Linked DNA regions of Schizosaccharomyces pombe. The gene in region 3 interacts genetically with the main gene of each other region. Each region holds a gene or a part of one and is shown on either strand. Other genes may lie near its edges. The genes, in order: get2, clr1 and gmh6.

Region 1 (11,311 bases), on a different chromosome or scaffold from region 3:
AATAAAAATAATCGAGTGCCCACTTTTTGTATCCGAGGAATTTCAGTAAAGTTTTCCCTCTTTGAAGTCGGTCTCTTAACAACTTAAAACGGCAATGCTAATAGTTCTCTTCGACTTTTAATTTCAATCAAAATTCACTTTTAGAAGTTTGTGTTAAGGAGTTGGCAGCCAGATTGTATTTTCTGACTTTCATGAATTCGTATGCTATTTCTGTACTCAACATTCCATACAAGAGTGGTAGGAGCCTTATTTGGTTTTTTTATTTCTAAAATATACTGCTATTTTATTTGAATAATTTGAACATTCAGGGTCCGCTTATCATGCTAAGGAAATGTGATTTTCTATTACAAATGTTTCAAGGTCAAGCGAATGCTTCTTTCTGATATAAGACCGCTCTAAACAATGCATTCACTATATTCTAAGAAAGGAAAAGATGATTTGAATTATGACTAATAATTTAAGACATTATTCGATTAAGAGAATCAACACTTTGTTTTAACCCAGCAGAGCGATATGCAGCAATTTCTCATCAGGGTTTCCCTCAAAAAACTGCCAAATATAATAAAAATTAATTTCTCCCTTTACTATTTACTCTAACTTTGAATGCGTTTATCTCCTCAACCGAACCGATCATAGTTACTTGATAAACCAGGTTGTGCTCAAACAAATATATCAGCGAGTTTAAACTTCTTTTCTATCTTCTATTAGAATCGGCAAGCTACAAAGTTATGTAATTTTCTGGATGTTTATAATCTGGTCGAGCCATGACCTACCTATCATCTTACCCGCTACCGAATGTCCCTGTAAATGAGATTATTGAGAAGGCATTAAAAAACCAGGTGCAGTGTCTTATCTCAACTTCTCATTTTCTAATTTACTAACTGTATTAATCCATATAGGCAATTTCTTATTATGCTTATATTCCAGTGAAGCGATCTTTGGCCAATTCAGTTTTCGTAAGAGTTTCTATTTTTTAGATGCAAACAGCTAGAAATTTTATTTCGGATTGCACCATTTACTTAGAGGTATCCTGGTATTGTTTACTTTGAGACCAAAATTGTTGACGTCGATGATTTTTACGGTAACGAGAACTTTACTATTTTTTTTTACCTAAAATTTATCAATGAATCATTTCTCCAAGTTTTCGGTTACGAAAAGGCTTCTTATCCTAGAGGTATTGTTTTCTGCAATATCATTTGGAATCAGCATCTACATCAAAGTGTTTGGTAGGAGTTCTATTGTAACTTTCTTTCTTTTATGTTTTCATTTGGTTCCAAATGCTTTGTTCTTGTTTCCATGGACAATAATTACCACAAGTTTTGTTGATGCTAATGTTTTTACGCTACTTTCAAGTATTCTCATTCTCTCGGTGTATGGCGTTGAAATTGAACGTTCATGGGGTCATAAGGAGTACTTGCTTTTCTGTCAGTTTTTAACAGTGATTCCAAACATTGCTGTCTTGATACCTTGCTTTATTGCATACAAAATTACAGATTCACATTACTTGTTGGTCGCAATTATCCAAAGTACGACCGCAATTCAAGCAGGGATCTTAACTGCTTGGTACCAATTGTATTCGTGTAAAAAGGAAGAATCTTCAAACAAATTTCTCTGTCCATTGTCAAAATACCTTATTTATTTGTTCCTTTCAATTCACTTATTTTATGTTTTTCAAAGTTTTCCATGGACTTATTTCTGCTTAGCTGTCTCAGGCACTTGCATCTCTGAGCTATATGTGTTGTTTGTTCATCCTGTGGTTCAAGAACTTTTCCATTTAGAAAGTCATACTCAGCTTCCTATATGAACTTTCCGTTTTAATCAAAATCAATACTTTTTTACGCATTGCTATTGTTTTGACTAGCTATCTAAGACCCGTGTATTGCTTTGCTTTTATAATTATTGACTGCATGCGCAAATGAATTTAAAATCAGTTTGCTTATGATTTTGCGTCTATTTATTAAATAATATTGAAGGCTTTTATTAAAAATAAAAAACTAAGTCTTTTTTGGCAGTTACTACTGTTAAATAACAATCACGACCGTTTACGAGTAATACTACAATTCTTGACAATTCCGCAAGGCACAAAATCCTTTACGGCATCTTTTAATGATTAAATAAAGCAAAAGAAATTACTTTCAAAATCGATACTATAATGCTACTATAATTTTATGCTTACCCTACCCTAAACTCTAGCAAAAAGTCCTTTAATTGAATTAAGTCCGTAGCTGCTGGAATCTACCAAGCACTCCATTAAGTTGGCTTGTCGTCACACTATTTGTGAGAATTCAATGAAGACGGGACAATTAGTCTGAGTGCTTATATTAAAGGACGATTTAATCCAGTTTTTGGGTTGGTCATGGTTCGGGGCCAGGGACTATATGTTAACATGTAGAAGTCATCAAGTCTTAAGCTCTAGCTTTTCTATGTCTAGATATTCTTTATCTTAAGTTTGGATGACTTATTTAGGCCTATATTTTTTGTATTGTTTAGTCGTTGTAAAAGAAGAGTAGCTTTTTGTATAGTTTGACTTAATTGAACAGTTTTATTTGCATGGATTTGCATAGTTTTCGTAAATGGCTTTAATTTTTCTTTATACATATCCAATGTAGAGGTTTTAGAAGTATTAGAATCTTCTGTATTCAGTTTCTTTTGGAACGAGAAATCGTTGGAGTCTGAAAAATTATCATGGGATATCTTTAAGCCTTTCTTCAAATAAGGGTGAAGCTAAGAAAATATTAGTGATTGCTTGATTATTTACATAACTGAAACAATGGAAAACTCATTTTGTGTCATATGTTAAGATGAAGTCTTGAATAAAACATTCGCCTGTTCGTGTTTTAAACTTACTTTAGATTTTAAATCGGCAAGCCGTGAATTATTTATGGCCATGTTTTGTTTCATTTCTTCGTAAGATTTCTGTTCATTCTCCAAACGAGCAGTTTCAACCTTCAATTCCTGTTGAAGTACGTTAATATGGTCCAAATCACTGTATAATTGCTGTTCCAATTGCATCTAAAAATGTTAGTCATATCTCTTTCGTATGTATGCGTATCAAGACTTAATAACTTACATTCGAAGAAAGTAATTGAGAGAACAGTATTGACTCTTTTCTTTTCCTTGGTACAGGCAAATTTCTCAGAGGAGCTTCGATTTTTAAAAGTATATTCATGAACCATTCCTCGGCCAAAGATTTTCTTGTTTCTGATTTTATTGTATTCAAAACCAATCTGTTACGATAGCACAGTTAGCATACGTACACATAATGACTAAAAAAATTTGGAAAAGTACTTAAAAGACTTTTCCAGGTAAACATCAACAGCAAACTTTGATTTCCCTTTCAGTACACAAGTAAGCGCTAAAAAGCACAAGCACTTTTAGCAATAACATGATTCTCAATTACTTACCTTGAACACGTCCTAAAAATAATTATTATTTCTTGGCGCTGCTTATCCTCTAATGGACGCCATCTTTTTTGAATTTGGTCTCGACGCACCGCGCGAACGCGCCTTTTCATTTCCATTGCATATATTTATAAAAATGGTGCTACCACTTCAATTTTCTTTTAAGCAATCTGGAACTTAAATAGCAAAATATGTACGTATGGTTTTATATGAAAAATTTCTCTATAACAAGAATTCGCCGTTTCAACGTTTGCATGCTGTTGTAGCGCTTCGGACGAAGTTGTTTTACATATATACAGTCAACCAAGCCAATTCTCAATTACTTATTTTATTTCAATAATAAGTTGATAAAAGATTTTAAAAATCATAGTTATAATGTTTTCACAGCTATCCCAGAAATTACTTTAAGTAGTCTGTTTTTAATTAATACTACAATTACAATAAACAGAGCTTTTTAAATCATATACTATTGCTACCATTGAATTAAAAGAGAAAATAAATAAAACGTACCGACAATCGTAAATATGGCATGTGTTGCAAAGCAGTTCAAATGAAGTGCAGTATGTTTTAGAATATAAATCGTTTAGATGTTGAAAAGATAATATAAAATTGAATTCCTAAGGGTTTGAAAAGTCTTTCTCGCTTAATCAGTTAGTTTATTTCATCTAAACAAAAATTGAATGCTAATTAATCGATCACCAATTTGCGAAGCAAAACCAAGATTCATAAATAGTAAATGCTGAAAATTAACAACTATTAATACACCAACGACGGATAAAAATAGCAACATAAACCTAACGCAAATATTGTCATACACGCATCTGTAATCAATTGTGTGAAATACGGAACATAACTTGTTGTATGACGGATCATTGCTCCATAGGGAGGGGGAAGCTGAGAGGCCAGAGATGCTAGAAGAGAATAAGAAGGTCCATTATTACGGTCCAAAACAAATTGAATAGAGAACAAGCAAGCTTCGACAGTAAATGTCCACGGAAGTAATGGCTGAAATAAATATATTAGTATGCAAAAAAACAATTTCAAAAAAGGAAGATGAGGACTTACCAAATGTTTAAAATAACAAACAATCACTACTATAGAAATTGCCAAAAGATGAGCATATTTCTCAACTAAGTTTTTTAAAGGAGCTGTAGCTTGAGGAATTTGTTCGTTTTCACCTTGAAAATTTGTATCAGATCCCTCCTTTGCGGATTGTAACATAGCTTGAAAAAAATTTGCAAAATCAGGGTTTTGATTAAACATGTTTTCAGGTGGTACATTATATGGAGAATCACACTGAAGTTTAAAAGGCGAACTTTCCAAATTATGGTAATCTTGGGAAGGAAGATATTCCACTTGATCAGCATTGAAGGTATCATCTCTCTTTTCCATGAATCCTGAAGACATTGGCGTTACTGGTGTTGCAGTTTCAGAATGTACAGCTTCCTCGGAAGCTGTAGCTCGAACATCGGATTGACTGTCATCTGAATTCTGTCCCAAAATTTGATTGATTCTAGATGCACCTCCTTGTTTGATTTTATTCAGTCGACGTTCACGTCTAAGTCGAGCTTGTTCACTGGCAGTCGACATGTTCGAAGTCTTTGAATCAGCAGAAAACAGAATAAAATAAATAATTAACACCAAACTTTTTTACAGATATATATTTTTATCAATATTATATTGGGAAAAAATCAATAATGCTCACTTGAACAACTTTCCAATATACGAGGGGTTTGGGGTGAGAGAAAATAGTGATGCATAAGTGTTAGAAGAATACTGAATTCCTACAGCTGTTATGTTTGATAAGAATCATACATGTTAGCCTTATATTATAAAAAGGAAAATTTAATTATAAAATTGGTTGAAATTGCCATATCAATTGCATTTTGCTAATTCGTGTTTTTTGGGAAACTACAAAAAACTAAAGAACAGACACATATTTTCATTACAGACTAGCGAAAAATTAAACAAAAAAATTTCCGTTCATTAATTCAGATACAAAAAGGAGTAGTATCACCAGCAACAGCTTTGTGGTAGCACCTTATTCAATAGACATACATGCAAAATCCAGTAGATTATAGGATAGTCCCAGCTAAAGTCTTTCATTTTGCGATACTTTTAACGAAAAAAAATAAAGACATCGAATGATTCACCTAAATACGTTGGCAGAAGGAAAATCCGCTTCAAAATTTGATTTAGAATTGAAATGCAAAAGTCATAACTCAAAATAGTAGTAAAATGGTTACTGAAAATTTATTATTCCCTTTTTATATCCTTCTTGGGAGTCCCGGAGTCTTCGCGAAAGGCTGCGACTATATACAAGGCCAAGATAATATTGACCATTACAGCTGCAGATAATCCTGCGTACAATGTTTGATATCCTAAAACAAAATTTATCAGTAAAAATCAAAATTATTCAACAATTAGTATATACCTTTGAATAAAGTCTTCAACGTCCAAAAATAAGTTATAAGTGGTAATGTAAATAATGCGACACTAAAACCCACAAACTTAAGCAGAACATTACTATTACGAAAGTTAGTAAGTTTTCATTTCCAACATATTTAGTTAAGAATATAAAAGGAATAAACAATATAAGAGACCTAAGATTATAGACTGTTGTGGAAGGTTGTATGGAATTTCTTAAAACCAATTCGCAGTCCGGCGTAAAGAAATAAACTAATAATTAATAAACTTACGTAGGTATAGAGTTATTATTTGTATCTGAAACTTGGGATTTCCTTTCCATTTTAAATCACGAATGCAAGTTGTTGATGGTGGTGGAGACCTAATTTATTGGGACCTTGCTTTATAAGAGGTCAAAGTTTTGTCAACATGAAAAGTAGACAATTGATATTCGTATGTTGAAAGTCCCTGAAATTATTTGTCATCTTATTAAAATTTATTATCTTTGTTTATAACATACGGTAGACTTATACGTGCGACCTGCTTAATTTGTGTTTACATATAATAAAATACCTGGGCGACAAAGTCTCCAAATTCATAGTTCCTTGTTGAAATATTAAATTAATTAAATTAAATCGAGTAACAAATGTATGTTAGGGCTTGGTCGATGATCATAAATAAAACTGCAATTTACAAACTCACATTGAATTGTTTAGCAGGCAAGGGTGTATCAAACAGTGGTGATCAAAAAAGCAATACTCAATTACTCCTCTGTTATAACAAGTGATTTCACACCATCCATCTTCACTTGATACAAGCATTGCTATGTTGACGTTTTCATCAGCGGACGAGCGGTATAAAAAAAAGAGCAAATAGATTACTCAATGGGTATATTTTATGCATTAAAATTTACCATTTTAGCTTGAAATCAAACTGTTGAAGTAGATTTTTGAGGTAATAAAAAGCATTTAATATAACGATAAGATCAAGCCTAGGTTATGTAAGCTACGCAGTTTGGTATCTGATTTAAGGATACGTAGAACTGCGGTGAGTTTTCCTTGTGGTCTATTATATTACAATACACAGGTTGTATAAGTAGCAACTGAGTATAGGTATTGTATTAACTGGGTTATAATGTTACCTATCACTAATATAGCTCATAACTGAACTGAGGAACGAGGTTCAGTTGTAACGCTATTTATAATATTTCTAAATAGTTGTTATCAACGGGTATCTATGTATATAGACGGATAGTTACCCGTGATTATCAATAAACGGATCTTAGCTAGTATTCCAACATATGACATATAGTGATACGCAACGTAGTGTAGCATAGCGTAGTGTACTATTCCTGACAGGTTAAAGTATATACGGCATTGCGATAATTACCGTTAAAATCCAGTAAATTTTTTTAATTAACTTAAGACATATCCAGATTTAAAGAGTCCATTATTTTTTTTCTGCGTACTCCCGTAAGAGTCAGGCACGCCCCAAACACGAACCAAACGTGCTACTTCTGATATTTGATATATAAATACAGAAGACTTAATGTGATTTTAAATTAGATGCTTCCTTACAATTCAAATTACTTATCGGACAACGGGAAACGAAAGTTTTCCGACGAAAATCCTCAATCGGAAGTTTATGGTTCTTCGCAAACAGGTTTGCCTTCTTCATACGGAAATCCTCAAAGCTATGGTACGCCCCCTGTCCAACAGTCTTCCGCTATGTACGGGGTGAATAATTCCATGGGTGGTGGAATGTATAATACTTCTGAGAACACTCAATTTATGAATACTGATTATTCGCAAACTTCTTCGTATGCGTCGACTCCAATGTCCAATGCTTATTCCAGAGATGCTCCCGCTGCAATCAACAACAATTTTGGTTATTCATACGTGGGACAATCATCGCAGCCAGTCCCTTCTTATAACCCCCTGCCCTCTTACAATACTGCGTCTTTGCCCAATGCTGGAATTCCCGCAGCAATGCCTGGTATGCCATCTGGTTATCCAGGCACTGTTCCAATACCTCAGGGTGGTTATAATGCACATTATAGTTCCCCTTATAATAACGGCTATCCTATCGGTGCTGTCAATCCTACATCGGCAATACCCGCGCAGCCTCCAGCACAACCCGTCAATAATGTTTTACCCAGCTACGTTCGTTCAAACTCGCGCTCATCTGCACGCTCCACAGCGCGTTCTGCTCCACGCTCTACTCAGCGATCTCGTTCCTCCTCCGCAAATCCCGTGACTACCCCACCAGTCAACAATACCTTGCTTACACCTCCCGCTCCACCTGTCGAGCTTCCTCCTGTAACCACTACTTCTCCTAATGCTATTATTCGTTCTGTTCAATGGATACGCTCATTTGTTCCCCAGGCTCCGATTCACCAGGTGATCAACACACTTGCTCAAACTAAGTGGGATGAGACTGCAGCACTTTCTATTTTATCTCAAAAATATTTGAGTTGTGACCTTGGTATTCCAATACAAGAGCATAAAAGGTTTAAGCAAAGTCCCGTTGCTAGCAATATGCCTACTTATGGAAGCTCTAACCGTACGGTTCAATCCCAAAAGCGCTCGATTCGGGACAAATATATACAAATGCCAAATGATTCTACGCAAGCTTCCCTTATGCCTTCTTATACCAGAAAAACTAGCAATGCATCAAAGAAACTTACTACTGAAGAAGATGAATTTTATGACTCAGAAGAAGAGCCTGAAGCCATAGTTCACAGGGATACATCGGCGTTAGAGAGAACTGTACTCAATTTTATAAACAGCAGTACTGCTAAGGAACTCTCTGATACTGCTAGTTGCCCTTTGTCCCACTCGAAACTCCTTTTAGAGCATCGTCCTTTCCAGACACTTGCCGAAGCTTGTATCATCAAACATCCTGATGACGTTCCTAGCAAACCTGGTAGACGTGGAAGGCGTCGTGAAAAAAATCCTATGGGCCAAAAAATCGTCAATGCTTGTATGGAAACCATGGAAGGATATTATGCAATTGATAATCTAATTGCCAAATGCGAGTTTCTTGGTAATCGTATATCTAAAGGTATGGCCTCGTGGGGAATTAAATTAGAAATGTCTAATGGTGAACTGAACATCGTTGACATGGAGTCGGTTCCTACCGAGGCAGCGGATAACAGTGATTTCCCTAAATTTGTTACAGAGCAACCCAAAACTCTTGCAAGTGACGTCCAGCTTAAAAGTTATCAACTCGTTGGCGTTAATTGGTTACATTTGCTTTATCAACAGAAACTGTCAGGGATTTTGGCTGATGAGATGGGTCTTGGAAAAACTTGCCAAGTAGTCGCCTTTTTTGCACTTCTTCTGGAACAAGGACACCACGGACCTCATTTAGTTGTAGTCCCTTCTTCAACGCTTGAAAATTGGCTTAGGGAACTTGCCCGGTTTTGCCCTAGCCTCCGCGTGGAACCTTACTACGGAAGTCAACAAGAGCGAGCAAATATTCGCGAAGCAATAGAAGAAAACGAAATAAAGTATGACATTTTGGTTACTACTTATCAGTTAGCTACGAACAACAAAGAGGACCGATCTTTTCTTAAACATCAAAACTTTGATGTCTGCGTTTACGACGAAGGTCATTATTTGAAAAATAGAATGTCGGAGCGTTACAAACATCTCATGAACCTTAACGCTAACTTTAGACTGCTGCTGACTGGTACTCCTTTACAAAACAATCTCAAAGAATTAGTTTCCTTGCTCGCTTTCATTCTTCCTAATATGTTTGACAGTGACATGGACGATTTGGATGTAATTTTTAAAGCTAAACCAACCGCAGATGCGGATATAGAACAAGCCTTACTTTCTAAGCAACGTATTAGCCGTGCCAAGACTATGATGACTCCGTTTGTCCTTCGCCGTCGGAAAAACCAAGTTCTTAATGATTTGCCAAAAAAGACTCAGATTATTGAACATTGTAAGTTATCAGAAAACCAGTTGGAAATTTACAATCGATATGCTGCTTTGCAAAAAAATCAACAACTTCGGAGAGACGATAAACGAAACAAGCGTAGTAAGAACGATGAAGAAAGCGATGGCAAGTCATTATCGGCCGGTCATGTTCTCATGCAGCTTCGCAAAGCTGCAAATCATGCCTTACTTTTTCGCAAATTTTATGACGATGAGAAGTTAAAGCAAATGGCTAAGGATATAATGCAAGAGGAACAATATAAAAATGCCAATGAACAATATATATATGAAGATATGGAAGTTATGTCTGACTTTGAATTGCATCGACTTTGCCGCAGTTTCCCTACGCTGCAGTCATATACGTTGAAGGATGATCCCTGGATGGATTCAGGTAAAATTCGAGTGTTGAAAGAATTACTTCCTAAAATGAAAGAAGAAGGAAGCAGGATCCTTTTGTTTAGTCAGTTTACTCAGATGCTCGATATTTTGGAACAGGTGCTGGATACTTTGAAAATATCATATGTTCGATTGGATGGTTCAACACAAGTTGAAGTACGTCAGGATATTATAGATCAATTTCACAAAGAGGAAGATGTTACTGTATTCCTTCTTTCAACAAAAGCTGGCGGTTTTGGAATTAATTTAGCGTGTGCAAATGTGGTGATATTGTATGACTGCTCTTATAATCCATTCGATGATTTGCAGGCTGAAGACCGTGCTCATCGTGTTGGACAAGTCCGTGAGGTAACGGTAATTCGGTTAATCACCGATAATACGATTGAAGAATATATTCAAAAATTAGCGAACACCAAACTTGCGCTTGACATGAGCTTAAGCTCTGATGGTAAGGATAGAGAAGAAATTGGCGAACGTCTTGTGCAAGACATGCTTGACGAAGAAAATAATGGCAACAATACAAAACCTGAAATTACGGGAAACGAGAGTGATGGAGAGTTCAAGGTCAGCAGCAGTAATAATTCCAAACAAACGGATGCGGAGGAGACTAATACAGGAGTTCCCTTAGAGGGTTCTCAACCGAACTCTGTGGAGAAAACTGACTTGGCTGACGGGGACGAAAAGGCTAACATAAAAACTGAGATGAAGAGTGAGACTGTAGAGGGTGATAATAAGGAACTTCGAGAAACCATGAAGGGCGAAAATGTTCAAACGGATTCTAATGCTGCTGTACCGTCGTCAAAATCTTCAACCGAAGAACCAAACGAATCTGTACTTAGCGGCCATTTAGATTTAGACACCGAGGCGTCACCTGTCGTAAGCACAATAGAAAAAACTACCAAGGGCGATGTTTCCGTTACGGAAGAGCAACAGTCCGCTAATATCGACGGTCAATTGGAGAAACCCGAAATTGAGGAAAGTAAAAAGCCTGATGTCTTGAATCAAGTTTCCTTGTCTATTGAAGAAGAAAAACCAAAAAATAAAGAATCGGAGGTTGACAATAATGCTGCTAAAGACTGATATACTTTTCATTTAAGTTGTCCTCATAAAAAATAAAAAATTGTTAATAATTCTTACTTTCGATATCCTAGAATATTGTTGGTG
Region 2 (8,629 bases), 1.4 Mb from region 3:
GATTAAATCACCTTTAAGCATTTTAAAGAAATACCTAACCAATAATTTAGTCGCTGAAACGTCTTGCTGAAAAGGGGATCCATTTAGATGATATTGCAATGGGTAAGAAATTTTTTTAATAGTGTGTTTTACAGGAAAGCTTCATTTCCACCGTCAATTATGTATCTAACAAACGGACATAGAGATTGATAATGCCAGCAAGAAAAACATTTCCAAAGATAAGTCTTTGAATGAAAATCTATTTGGAAAAACCGAAGCCGGGAAACAAAAGGATTTCATGAACATTGAGCCAACATGTAAAGGAACAATTTTGGGTGCTCCTCCAGCATTATAAGCTTATTTTTATTAAGCTTTATGGGTCTTTAGGGTTGATTGATAATAATATTAATACAATATGTTTTAAATATACGGTCCACACATATAGGGTTTCAACCAATGTGTTATCTATTTTGGAAAAAAAAAATTTGTATCATTGTATTAAGTCATCAAGTTGCTATGGTACTATGGCTTTTTCATATAAAAACATTTAATCAGCGTAATGTTTCAACATTCCAGAAAACAATTCCTTACATCTCACCTTGGCGCCAAGCTTGGCACACAAAAGGAAATGCCCGCTTAGTCTACGGTGTAATGAATAAGTTTCTTCTGGAGGAGGTTGAAGTCTTAAATCAAGCATAACAGGAATCTGCTGCTTAACCCTCGCAGTGATCGTTTGATCGCCAAAGTCGTAGACGTCAGGTGCATCAAATGCAAATGGCTCCGCAAGAGTGAAAATTGAATTTATATGCGCATCTATCATTTGAGCAGACTCATGATTATTTAAGTATCCTAGTTCAACAGATAATTTTTTGCACTTTTCTCGGTTACGATGAGCCGCCGCTAGTAAAAGTCGGCAATATTTCTTGATGAACTTTTCATCATATTCAATTGATGCTCCAAAATCTAGTAATTCAATTTTTTTTGTTTTTCCGTTATATAAGAAGTTAGACCAATTAGGGTCGGTTTGCATAAAATGGTATTCAGATATCTCTCTTAGACATTGTTTCGTCAGCAGATATCCTATATGGTTCCTTGTAGCTTGTGAATATTTTTGTTTTCCCAAAGCAATACCATGTAAGTACTCTAATGTAATTACGCTGGGTCCAGATGCTTCTCGAAATACCATTGGGACTTTAAAATCAGAATCATTTTTGAGCAACGATCCAAACCTTTCAGCAAAAGCGGCCTCTCTTTCATAATCGCATTCCCATTTCAGTTCTTTCCTTGCGGCTGCTAAACTGTTTTCTAAAAACAATCCTTTAGGAAGTATTCTAGAAGCTTTCAACAAATAAGCTAGGTTATTCAAATCCGAGTCAATGGAAGACATCACCCCAGGATATTGAACTTTCACCACAACTTCCATGTGATTAGATGCTAAACGAGCTCGATGAACTTGTCCAATTGAAGCTGCCGCCATTGGCTTTCTGTCAAATTCTGAATAGTGAGTCATCCAATTCTTTCCAAGGTTTTTAACCATAACTTGCTCTAGTTGCTTTTCTGGCATGGAATGTGCTCCATCACGTACACGCTCCAAAATTTGAGAAACACGTGGGTCAATCAGCTTACTATCCTGGAATGAAAGCATTTGACCCATTTTTAAAGCAGCACCACGCATTTGAGTCAGTTTGTTCACCAAAATCTCTACATTTCTTTCATTCAGTAACAAAGCTCCATCGTCTTTGCTGATTCCCCACATCCTCTTCATTTTCTCCCCTATAGCCCCAACCGACAAGGAAGTTGCAAGGCCTCCGTAATGCCATAGACGACTCCATTGGGACGAAGGAACTTTAGAAGAGGAAAGTATAACCGGAGACTTATTCTCAGTAGAGTAGCTTTCTTCAATAGAGGATTCAAAGTCTGCTGTAAAATTGGCATTCGTTGCAGGGTGTGATTTTGTTACGTCTTTAATACTAGAATCAATCGCTGAAGGTTTAGCAGGACTTATTTCATCTTTTTTATTTGGTAAAATCGGTTGCGAAATAGGATTTTTTATTTCTTTAGAAGATTGCTCCTGCAAATGTTTGACACCGGAGGCATCTTTCTGAACATCTAAAGAATTTCCCAAAAGCGTTCGTTTCGTATCTTTAGAAGATAACCCCAATTCTTTTATTTGGGAAGCATGTTTGACTTTACCGTTTCTGTATTTCTCCAATAATTGAACGTGCAGGTCACTTGTGGACCTTTTCGAACTGGTTATTTTCGATGCATCATACAGTTGTTTTGCTGTAATTGACGAAGCTTCAGCCTTTAAATATGATTTGGCAACATTTCGAACTGCGGATCCTATTGTTATAAGTTCCCAAAGCCCTGAATTAGCCATTTGTTCTGATTAAATAAGAGAAAAATAAGCCTTGGAATAAAAAGTGCTTCAATTTCGAATGGAAGGGCTTTCAAGTGAATTTATTTATTTCAAAAACCAGACATTTGATTATTTTCATTAACTAGCCACTGTTATAATGGTTTTATGAATCCAAAAATGATAAAAGTTTATGATGGTTCCTAGCGGCGGTTACTTCAGTTAAGCAATCGAACCATATGTATGTACTTGAAGGGACGCGTGTACAGTAAATTAAGGACAATCAATAATTTTTTATATTTACTTTACATACAATAACTATATAAATAAAAGACATAAGATGTTTGTTCAGAGAGATTCACGCCAGTTGGATTAAACCATAATTAAGAAAATAATTGTTGAGATCACGCTTGTAACGTACAAAGACGGATCATTCTATTTTTATATTTTTACGTTGCACAATAGACCCTTCGATTAGCAAGGATGGAGTAGGGACACTTTTGCTGACAGGTAAAATAAAAGAACCATGACGACCAACCCGGGCATAATTTGAATCAAAATCGTACCCAGTATTATCATTTTTACCTTTACTATCGTACAAACCCGCAAATGATTTATAAACATTCCTCTTAGCTAAAGCAGCTATAATTTTATCTTTAGACTGATTGCTTTGGGTTAGTCTGGAAAGTAAAGATGAGTTAAAACCAGGTGGAGGAACCGGATACCAATTCGCAGGAGCAGGTTTAGCTATCGGTGTACAAGTTTCCATAAAACATTCTACTTCACCAGACTTCTGTGTGTAAGCATTTCTTGTACGACGTGCTTCTTCTTTGACATTGCCATTTCGAATTTTAATGAAAGACTCTGGTGTGAACTTGAAAGGTAAATGTGAATGCTGCAAATGTTTGAACATATCTTCATAATTAGAAAAGCACTTTTTACAGTTAGAAACTTCACAATTAAGCCGGATGTTGTTCAAATGGCCGCGCAAATGCATTTCAAACTCTTCTGATGGCAAAACCATATCACACGAAGCCCATAGGCATTTAACCACAGAACAACTTTTCGGATGATGTAACAATAAAACGTGTTTTATAAAATTTTCCAACGAATGAAGATTGGCTAAACAACCCTCCCATTGACAACGGTATTCAGCATAACCTTTACTCAACATGTTAAAGGCTTTAAGTACTTTCTCCTCAAAGGGGTCAATTAACACAAGCGGTTTACAAGCCTTTTTACTAAGCACTGCTTCGTTCCCTGCTTGACTAAGGCTCACGTCAGCAACGCTCGTAGAAATATTCTCACGCAAATTCAAAGACTCGGAGTCAACGACATTGCTTTGATCGCTTTGAGCACCAGCATTAGTAGGTACTTCAACGGGCATTGATTTAGGAAGCTCAGTTGTAATATGAATTGAGGAAATCACATTTTTATCTCCACCGTCCTCTTTAATTTTGTCGGCAAATGGAATATTAGAACTTCTAAAATCTTTATCAATGGTATCAAAAGATCTTTTTGCTGGGATTTTAATTGAACCAGTATCATGGAAAGGTTGTTTTGAGGACGTCGATTCAATTCCAAAATACTCTTTGCGCTTAACAGTTGAAATATCCTTGGTTAAGTTGATCGACTCACAACTTGATAGTTTCCCAGAAATTAGTGGCTTCAATGCGCTTCTGCTTTGTTCTTCGCCAGAATTGTTTTTAGATACATCATTGCCAGATATCAGTTTGTCAAAATCATTAGTACCAGAATCTTTAGCCTGTTTTGTTGAAGACGCATCTTCTTTAAGAGTCTGAAGATTGCTGTCCTTTGAAGTAAAGTAATCTTTACGAGTTGAATCGATAGGAGAAATCTCGTTGTCACTATGAAGAAGAGATGAAACGCTAATGTGAGTAGAAAAACTATCCTTCGTCAATGCTTTAGAATTTGGTGCAGCATGAACAAAAGGAGACTTATCGGGTACAGCCATTCGATTGCTAGAAGCATCCCCATCGCTACTAATACTGGAGAGCTTAGAGTTAGATGGTTTAGGAAGCGAACAGTCCGTATTGTCACTTATTACATTATTTTGATCCACAGAAAACTGCTTTTTAGGAACCAATCCCGGACGTATGGTTTTTATTTCTGCAAGACAAACCTGAGATTCTGCAGAAGGACTTAAAAATGTGCTAGTCAATAATTCTTTTTCATTCGAATTTTCTATTTCACGTCCAAAAGCTCTCTTTGTAACGTCCAGCTTCTCAGGAGGTTTTTCCTGATCAGAATTATATATTCCATCGGCGGAAGCTGCTATGTTTGATACGTCAGCTGTTTGAGCTTGAGTTTCAGAATTATTATGAGATGTCGGAATTCCCTCAGGCAATAATTCCTTTTCATTTCTAGGCCCACTTGTCAAACCAGACGACTTAAAACTAGAATTCGTTTTCAAGACATTGTTAGTTGTGTCAATGTAGGAAGAAGTTGATGACGGTTTCACCAAAGTAGTTTCCGAGCTAACAGATTTTTGTTGTATTGGTTCCTTTTTGCTTTTAATCAAATAATTATCCTTATCAGTATTAAGTTTACTAATGGTGTCGACAGTTGAAGAGGAATACACTTCCGACGCCAGAGATTTAGTAACTCCTAACGAAGAGCTTGATTGAGCAGAGATTTCCGAGTGTTTATTTCTCGTAGGATAGCATACACGTCCGTTAACTGCAACACCATTTTGTTCACGAAGTTGAATGACTTTATCAGGAGATAAGTCTAGCTGTTTTATAGCTTTTTCAAGAGTTTGGCGGTTGTAAGCAATCTCTTCATTAAACCGCCTATGTTTCAAAAAAGAGCCATCCGGTCGCAGGTTAGTAATTGGCAATGAAGGGAACTTCGAGGACACTAACGAAAGATTATTCCAATCGGCCAGGTTACGCAAATCGCCTTTGAATTGTTTTTTCAATTGACCTTTATTTAGTTCGTTTTGCATTAGCTTTAGCTCCAATGATAAATTAAGTCTCGGTCTATCAGGTTTTGATCGAGAGAAAGACGCTGTAGAGTATAGGATTGAGGATGCAATATTATCAGGTGTTAAAAACGGAGAAACAGATGGACACACCTTTTCAGAGTTTAAATTATCAAAAAATGTTTTCTTAACAGTAGAGTTAAGCCCCTCTTTAAGCACTGCTGAAGAGCCTTGGAAACGCAGTCCTTCAAAAGGGTTTGCATGAGCTGCATTTTTTAAGGTTGAAGGGTTTCGCATACTTCCAAGATTATAAGAAGACGTATTACGGGAACTTGTGATATCTTTTTTTGAAGGTGAGCGGTCATAAAGAGATGCTGACGCGTTAACTTTATCGGAAGTTGTTTGCACCATACCATGCCCTGGCTGTTGGCTTCCCGAGGAAATAAGCTTTTCTGAACCATACACATCTAAAGAAGATATATTGGACTTAGTTATAGAAGACGGAATAGAAGAATGATTAGAGTTGACTGAGGAAGCAGTTTTCTTTGAATTATTTTTGACATTTGGAGATACGTGTTTAACCGGGCTAGACTTATTAGATGGGAGATTAGAAAAAGGACGAAATTGATGCTGATAAAATGTTTTTTGTTCGCAAACCAATCCAGGATTTTGTGATGAACTCTGAAAGTCGAATGGTTTAATACCAGCATATTTAGAATTTGATAAAATTGAAGTGTTAGGTTCTGTATTTACCGAAGAATTGGGTTTGAAATTACCATGAGATACATTGGAGACTTGTTGTTGTGTATTTGTTGAAGCCCGTTGATAAACTTCAGATTGAGCTTCCTGTTGCACCTGTAGCTTTGGGCGACCCAAAGTAGTTATCCGAGCTACTAATGTCTGTGAGTACGATTCGAATGGAGGGGGATTAATGAAGAACCCAGTTTTTACAATTTCCTCATACAATTGAACAATTGTAGATATATCGTTGACTGGACCCTCCCTGACTCGTAAAGCCATCAACCATGGACGCAAAATATCATACGTCGACAATAAATATGATAAAGCGCCAGGTGGAATAAGTGAATGAACCAGAGTTTTCACATTGAATGGAGCAGCATGATAAAAGCAGAAAAAATATAGGAGTCTGAGTTGTTGCAATTCTGTCAATGTCTCTGAAGAACTGATATCAGGTTCCGCCATATCTAACAACGAATTGCATGCAGTTGTGTCTTTAAATGTGACAAAAAGTATTTATTACCATTAATTAAATTCCAAAAGGTGGAATTCCTTGGGACCAGCCCTTCGAATTACTGTTCGCACTATTTATTGTGGTGCTGCTGCTATTGATGAAGTGAACTACGACGGGAAGGAAAGAATAGCCGGGGATGCACACTAAGATATCAAAAAACGGGGAAATTTGTTACAACAAAGAATAACATTAAATAAAAAAGAACTAATAATAAGTCTTGACAATGGTCAATCTATGTAATAGAAAGTTATTAACGATAACACAGCGTTGAAAATGAGCTATAATCACTGTACCCACAATGGATGTGCATTATGTTGTACTGTTTTCTTTCTTTTTCTTTTTAGATTTGATCGATTCTTTGTGAAAATTATTGATAATCTCATATAATCCTTCATTTCTTCGACAACATAAAAGCACATCCTGTGGTTGAACCGTTTTCCGTCCTGCATGTCTATTATTTTGTTAATAAGATTAAAATATTTATTTCCATCAAGAGCGTACTCTGCAAAAGCCTCAATGTCTTTAGCTAATACACGTATTTGTTCCCAAACCATTTCGGTAACTCCAACACAAAAAAGCTCATCTACAATGACATTTCTTGACTCTGATTCAGTTAATTCAGAAGCTGTACGATTACAAACTTCTTGTGTAACGTGAAAAATCTCTGCTTTGAATCTCTCCTAGAATACCAGTTAGCCAATACCTATATTAAAATGCATTATTACCTCCTCCATCATATAACTTTGATTACTTTTTATTAATTTTCGTAATAATACGTTACTAAAAGTTAAGATAAGTAGTCTCCTTATAATTAAATGGCTAAAACATGAAATAGGTGGTTTCCAAGTTTCTTCGTAGTTTGAAACATTGTTTTATTAATCTAAACTAAAATATTATTTTCGTGGGGAGCTAACCGTGCTAAATACCAAAGAGTAGGCCAAAACCAATCAGTTGGAAAGTATTTATTAATCTTAATAAAACCTTGTGCCTAAATAAAAATTTTCTCAGAAAAAAGTCCATGGTGCAAACACAATTCTTGGTAAGTTGAAAATTCTGTTGAGGATGCTAAAGCTTTTTTTCAATCAAAAAAAATTTTTTTTAAAATAAGTACCAAAGTTCCGTATGGCAATAAAACATCTTCCTAAGATTTTAATTGCCAGGAAAAACAAAGCAGAAGTTAACCATTGCGACCTTAAAAGAAGAGTTTCTATAAAAATTGTTATGATCCGTAAAAGTCTTTCCAAAATGGGATACTAATCCGAAAGATCTATGGTTTAGGAAATCCAGGATCAGCGTTCGTCAAATCGAGACACTCACTGGGGAAATTAATGGTGAGTATGTACGCTGACAGCATGGCATTTCCAAAAAATTGGCCTAGTACCAAAGAAAATCTCACCTTGGTTTTGTCCACCTCATACATGAATGATTCCGGGAAACAGTTGAAAAAGATATCTAATGATTTTGTGCGCAAAGTTTCGCCATTAGACAAAATCGTATATGTAGTTGTGCATGACGAATTGGAGTTAGATTTAGGCAAAGTCAAGCTTCGTTTGCCCGGAGGCTCTCACAGGTAAGTAATATCCAAAGCAATACTTATTAACATTGCTAGGGGACACAATGGGATTCGCTCTTGTCAAGAATTCCTAGGAAAAGAAGTAAGGTACACATTTAATTTCATTACTAATTCAAAGAGTTTTTACAGGATTGGATTGGGAATTGGACGTTGTGAGTCAAGGAATAGGGAGGACGTTTCAGATTATGTTTTGAGTAAATTCAACTCTAATGAAATGAAACTAATTGAAACTGATATATTCCATAAGTTTTGCAACATTCTTCAACAATTACAACTTTCAATTGAAACATAGGGACTAAGTTAAGCTTAACTCATTGCGGGTTGTTCCTTGTAAAATTGATTGTTGATTATAAGAACTATGAAGCTACATTGTTCATTCCGTTTAAATAAATTATCAAAACCCACAGTCCATCATATTTTCAAGGCAATATTGGATTAAAAGATCAATACCTTTTTTATTGCTATATAAAATTGATAGATAAATAAATCTAAGATACAACAATTCATGAGAACAAACAGAGATTA
Region 3 (3,600 bases):
ACATTCAAAACAAGTTGATCTTGGACAAAGATTCAAAAATGAATTTTGAAATTTCACGACTGATGAAATTGTCCTCGATTAGCCAGTAATTGCTTATTGAACATCCTTTTGGATATAAAATGAATCAAACTCTTTAATTAATCAATTAGGAGTGCTTATTAATTTAGTGAACATAAGCGTCGCAAGAAGATTAAGACTGAATTATCCGACTGTATCGTAAATGCAAGGTTAAGTCATAGTGAAAGCTGGGAACCATGATCATGCTAGGTCAATTGTATGCATTAATTTAAATAAATAATAACCAGTAATATAATAACACCAACCGATCGTACAGATGAATAGAGTAAATATTATATTTACAATTAGAGTTATATAGCACTGATCATTGCATAGATTAATAATAGAATAAATATAAAGCACTATAGCAAGAATAACAAGGTATTGATTAAGGTTGAGGGAAAAGGCGTTGTTCAATATATTCCTTTTCGGATGGATCGAACCAATCATGGCCTTGCTTTTCTGTGATAATCTTGCCATACTTTTCAAAATTTTGTGCACATGTCTGAAAGACAAAGCACCCAGCAAAATGAACACATAAATCACCGTCTTCATATCCCCAAGCAGGATCAGAAGAATCATATGCGTTTATTGAACGAAGAGTAACTAGCCCAACATGTTTATGCACAATGGGATGACTATATATCATATGAGAAAGGGCTTGTTGTTCGACAAATACACCATTATGTTCTTTATAAAGTGGTTCATTCCAAAAATCCAGCATCCATGTTCCTACTTCAGAATTCCTTATTAAAAAACTGCCAGCATTAATGCCATTAAAATCTTGAGCAATGATAAAATGTATATCATCAGGGTCTTGATTTTTAGGTGTTCGGAATCCTTCAGAGTCAATGCCAAATCCACTAAAATATTCGGTGTCGCGCAATAAAAGAGAATTTAGCTTTTCATGCTTCAAAATGTGATCAACCAGATTCAAATCACGATTCATAATTAAAGCATCGTGATCCAACCACCATACCCATTCAGCATCTGGATATTTTCTAATCACATTTTTAATCATGGGAATTTTAGCCCAAGGGGCAGGCTTGTCGCCAATTGAAGGTTTGTACTCATCTAAATCTAAAAATTCAAACTTAAAACCATGACGTTCTGCATAGTCGCGGCGATTTTTAATAATCGTTCTAATATAAGGATTTAAGGGTGAGGAAGGGTCATTTTGGGCATTGGAACCCATCAAAAGGACTATCTTAGAATTTTCAGGATGAGGATTAAGTGTGCTTAACTCTTGAGCTGTGGCAGTAACCGTTGGGGTTACTGTCGTAGTTTCTGTAACAAAAGACGTAGATGTAATCGTTTCGCTGACACTGGTGTGTAATGGCTCTGTGTAAACGATAGTAGTTGTTTCGTAAACTGCATTCAAAATTGAAGAATGTTCATTTAAGAAAAGTTGTACTTTCTGGTCGAGCCTAGTACCAAGGGTAGCATTCCACCATACTCCAGAAATAGCAATTATGCTGAGGATCACTGCTGGTATAACATAAGAATACCAACGCATTGTAAGTATGTAAGAGAAATTAGAATTGACCAATCCTTGGATAAATAAATATGTTCAAAGTAATGAAAAAATACCAATGATAATAAAAATGATAGCGAAGAAAAGAAAGAGCGGTGTAAATATCCTTCTTTAAAAATTGATGCAATAAAAGCTAAGATTTCTTATAAAATACTTAGCCTAAACTAAGATGTTAGATAAGTTCAGAATGTGAGAGGTAGATGTTCGTAGGCACTTCACAGCACACACATGCTCACAATAGCAGGCGAGACAATTTAAAGTACCTTTTTAATCTTATCGTTTACTAACACCAAAAAATATACCCTATTTACCCAAAGCAATAATCACCAAGTGTCCTGAAAGAGTGTATGTCAAATATAATGAACGTAGCGGTAAAGTGGAGATACAAGGTTTTATAGAGAGTGACCTATAAAAAATAAAATAAACTTTCGACCGATTCTCGTGTTACCATTCAGTTAAGTGCTTTAGAGGAAAGCTACTAAAACTTTTGATGTAGTTATAATGAAGGGAAGGAAAGCATGTACGCGTTGAAATTTAGTACATTTCAAATAAGTATATACGCTATGACTCACTATTCCTTATAATATATTAGCATAACTACACTACGTAATATGCGCTACGTTACAGTATCACTATATGCCATATGTTGGATTATCAGTTAAGATATGTTTATCAATAATTATATATAACTATCTTTATACACATGGATTCCCATTGTTAAAATATTTTAGAAAGATTATTAAATAGAGCTACATGAACTGAGGAGCGAGATTTAGTTATAAGCAGTATTAGTGACAGGTAACTATATAACCTACTTAACAGAATACCTATACTTATGGTACTTATATTATCTTCTTATTGCAATATAATAGATCACAAGGAAAACTCACTGCAGTACTATCGTTAAAACAGATACCAAAATGCATCGCTAACTTAATAAATATCGTAATGAAGCAAGAAGAATTCTCGATATATCAAACGTTTGTGATTAACGAGATTCTAAACGTTGTAAAACCTCGTTATACTTCAATTTTGATGCTTTTTCTTCTGCTGCATTGGCAAACATTTTTCTGAAGTGCTTGGATTTTTAAATTAAAATGCAAAGCGTCGCTTTCAATTTATCGGTTTCACTTTTTATTGTTGTATAATTTTTTGAGAAGAATATTAGTCTAACCTTTAGTTTGCACAATCGGAATGTAAGTATCAATAAATTAAGATTCTTTAATATATCTGTTGGAATCGTTCTTTTTTTTTTGGATGCACTACACCTTAAATTTTTAATATATATGCGATAATTGTACTCAGAAAAGCAAATGATAGCATTTTGGAATTCGCTTCAGACCTTACAGAGACTATTCAAAGTATTCTTGGAATTTAAGTTTGCAGCTTCGAAGAAAGTCGTAACTATTTTCTAGAACTGATTTTTTATTTCATGATAACGTTAAAATTTGCCCAGCAATAACTGTATTTTTGTGTACTTTACCAATAGCAATTTAGATTTTAACTAGCAAATCAAAGAAATATGGAGTTGTTGTCCTTCTCCATGCTTAATATTGCAGCCATATTTATTCTTTACTAACTCATCACCTAGCGATGTTTCGATTCCGTGTCTTTAGCTAAAAAATTGTTATGGTATAAAGATTCACGGATCGGCCGTTAAAATTATTCAATTACTTAACCAATAGAAAGGCCCCAGATTCGATTGCTATACCACTACATATTCGTTTACAATAATACAATATTACGGTTGAAGTATTTTTAAACAGCCAATCATTTTTTTTATTTTCAAAGCAATTTTGTTTAAGAGAATAAGACAGAATATTATTTCATAGTAAAAGTATATAATTATATTCTAATATACCGATATTGTAATGACGATAAATTATTTTTTAAACTAATTTATGGCATGTTGATAAAGCCAATGAAGGGACTGAGTAAATTGTATACCTCAAGCAAAAATTCGCTAAGCAAACGACAACTTCATCATAACCTGATGTTGAGTATGTTGT

What was found.
Region 1: mutations in gmh6 (region 3) and get2 together harm fitness more than expected from each alone (negative genetic interaction), as found in Schizosaccharomyces pombe (one large-scale study listed by BioGRID).
Region 2: mutations in gmh6 (region 3) and clr1 together harm fitness more than expected from each alone (negative genetic interaction), as found in Schizosaccharomyces pombe (one large-scale study listed by BioGRID).

Annotation. Positions count from the first base shown.
Region 1 is NC_003421.2:182,939-194,249, reverse strand, and holds get2 (GET complex subunit Get2), read right to left. Parts: upstream 5,137-11,311; 5' UTR 4,992-5,136; coding exon 4,467-4,991; intron 4,407-4,466; coding exon 4,158-4,406; 3' UTR 3,849-4,157; downstream 1-3,848. Other genes in the region: protein pdh1, read left to right, coding at 1,124-1,804; kinetochore protein fta7, read right to left, coding at 2,428-2,724, 2,848-3,012, 3,071-3,227, 3,405-3,520; vacuolar H+-ATPase assembly protein Vma21, read right to left, coding at 5,658-5,782, 5,836-5,927, 6,101-6,150; protein Fft2, read left to right, coding at 7,373-11,227.
Region 2 is NC_003423.3:2,995,091-3,003,719, reverse strand, and holds clr1 (SHREC complex intermodule linker subunit Clr1), read right to left. Parts: upstream 6,630-8,629; 5' UTR 6,483-6,629; coding exon 2,766-6,482; 3' UTR 2,584-2,765; downstream 1-2,583. Other genes in the region: ribosome biogenesis protein Alb1, read left to right, coding at 51-102, 183-334; ABC1 kinase family ubiquinone biosynthesis ATPase Coq8, read right to left, coding at 527-2,359; protein mhf1, read right to left, coding at 6,841-6,982, 7,033-7,211, 7,257-7,268; peptidyl-tRNA hydrolase Pth1, read left to right, coding at 7,654-7,749, 7,797-8,101, 8,141-8,186, 8,223-8,396. UniProt on the Schizosaccharomyces pombe protein: Regulates silencing of the mat2 and mat3 loci. Organizes the chromatin structure of the mating-type region where it also participates in establishing the 'cold spot' for recombination.
Region 3 is NC_003423.3:4,407,616-4,411,215, forward strand, and holds the start of gmh6 (alpha-1,2-galactosyltransferase), read right to left. Parts: upstream 2,092-3,600; 5' UTR 1,574-2,091; coding exon 446-1,573; 3' UTR 1-445.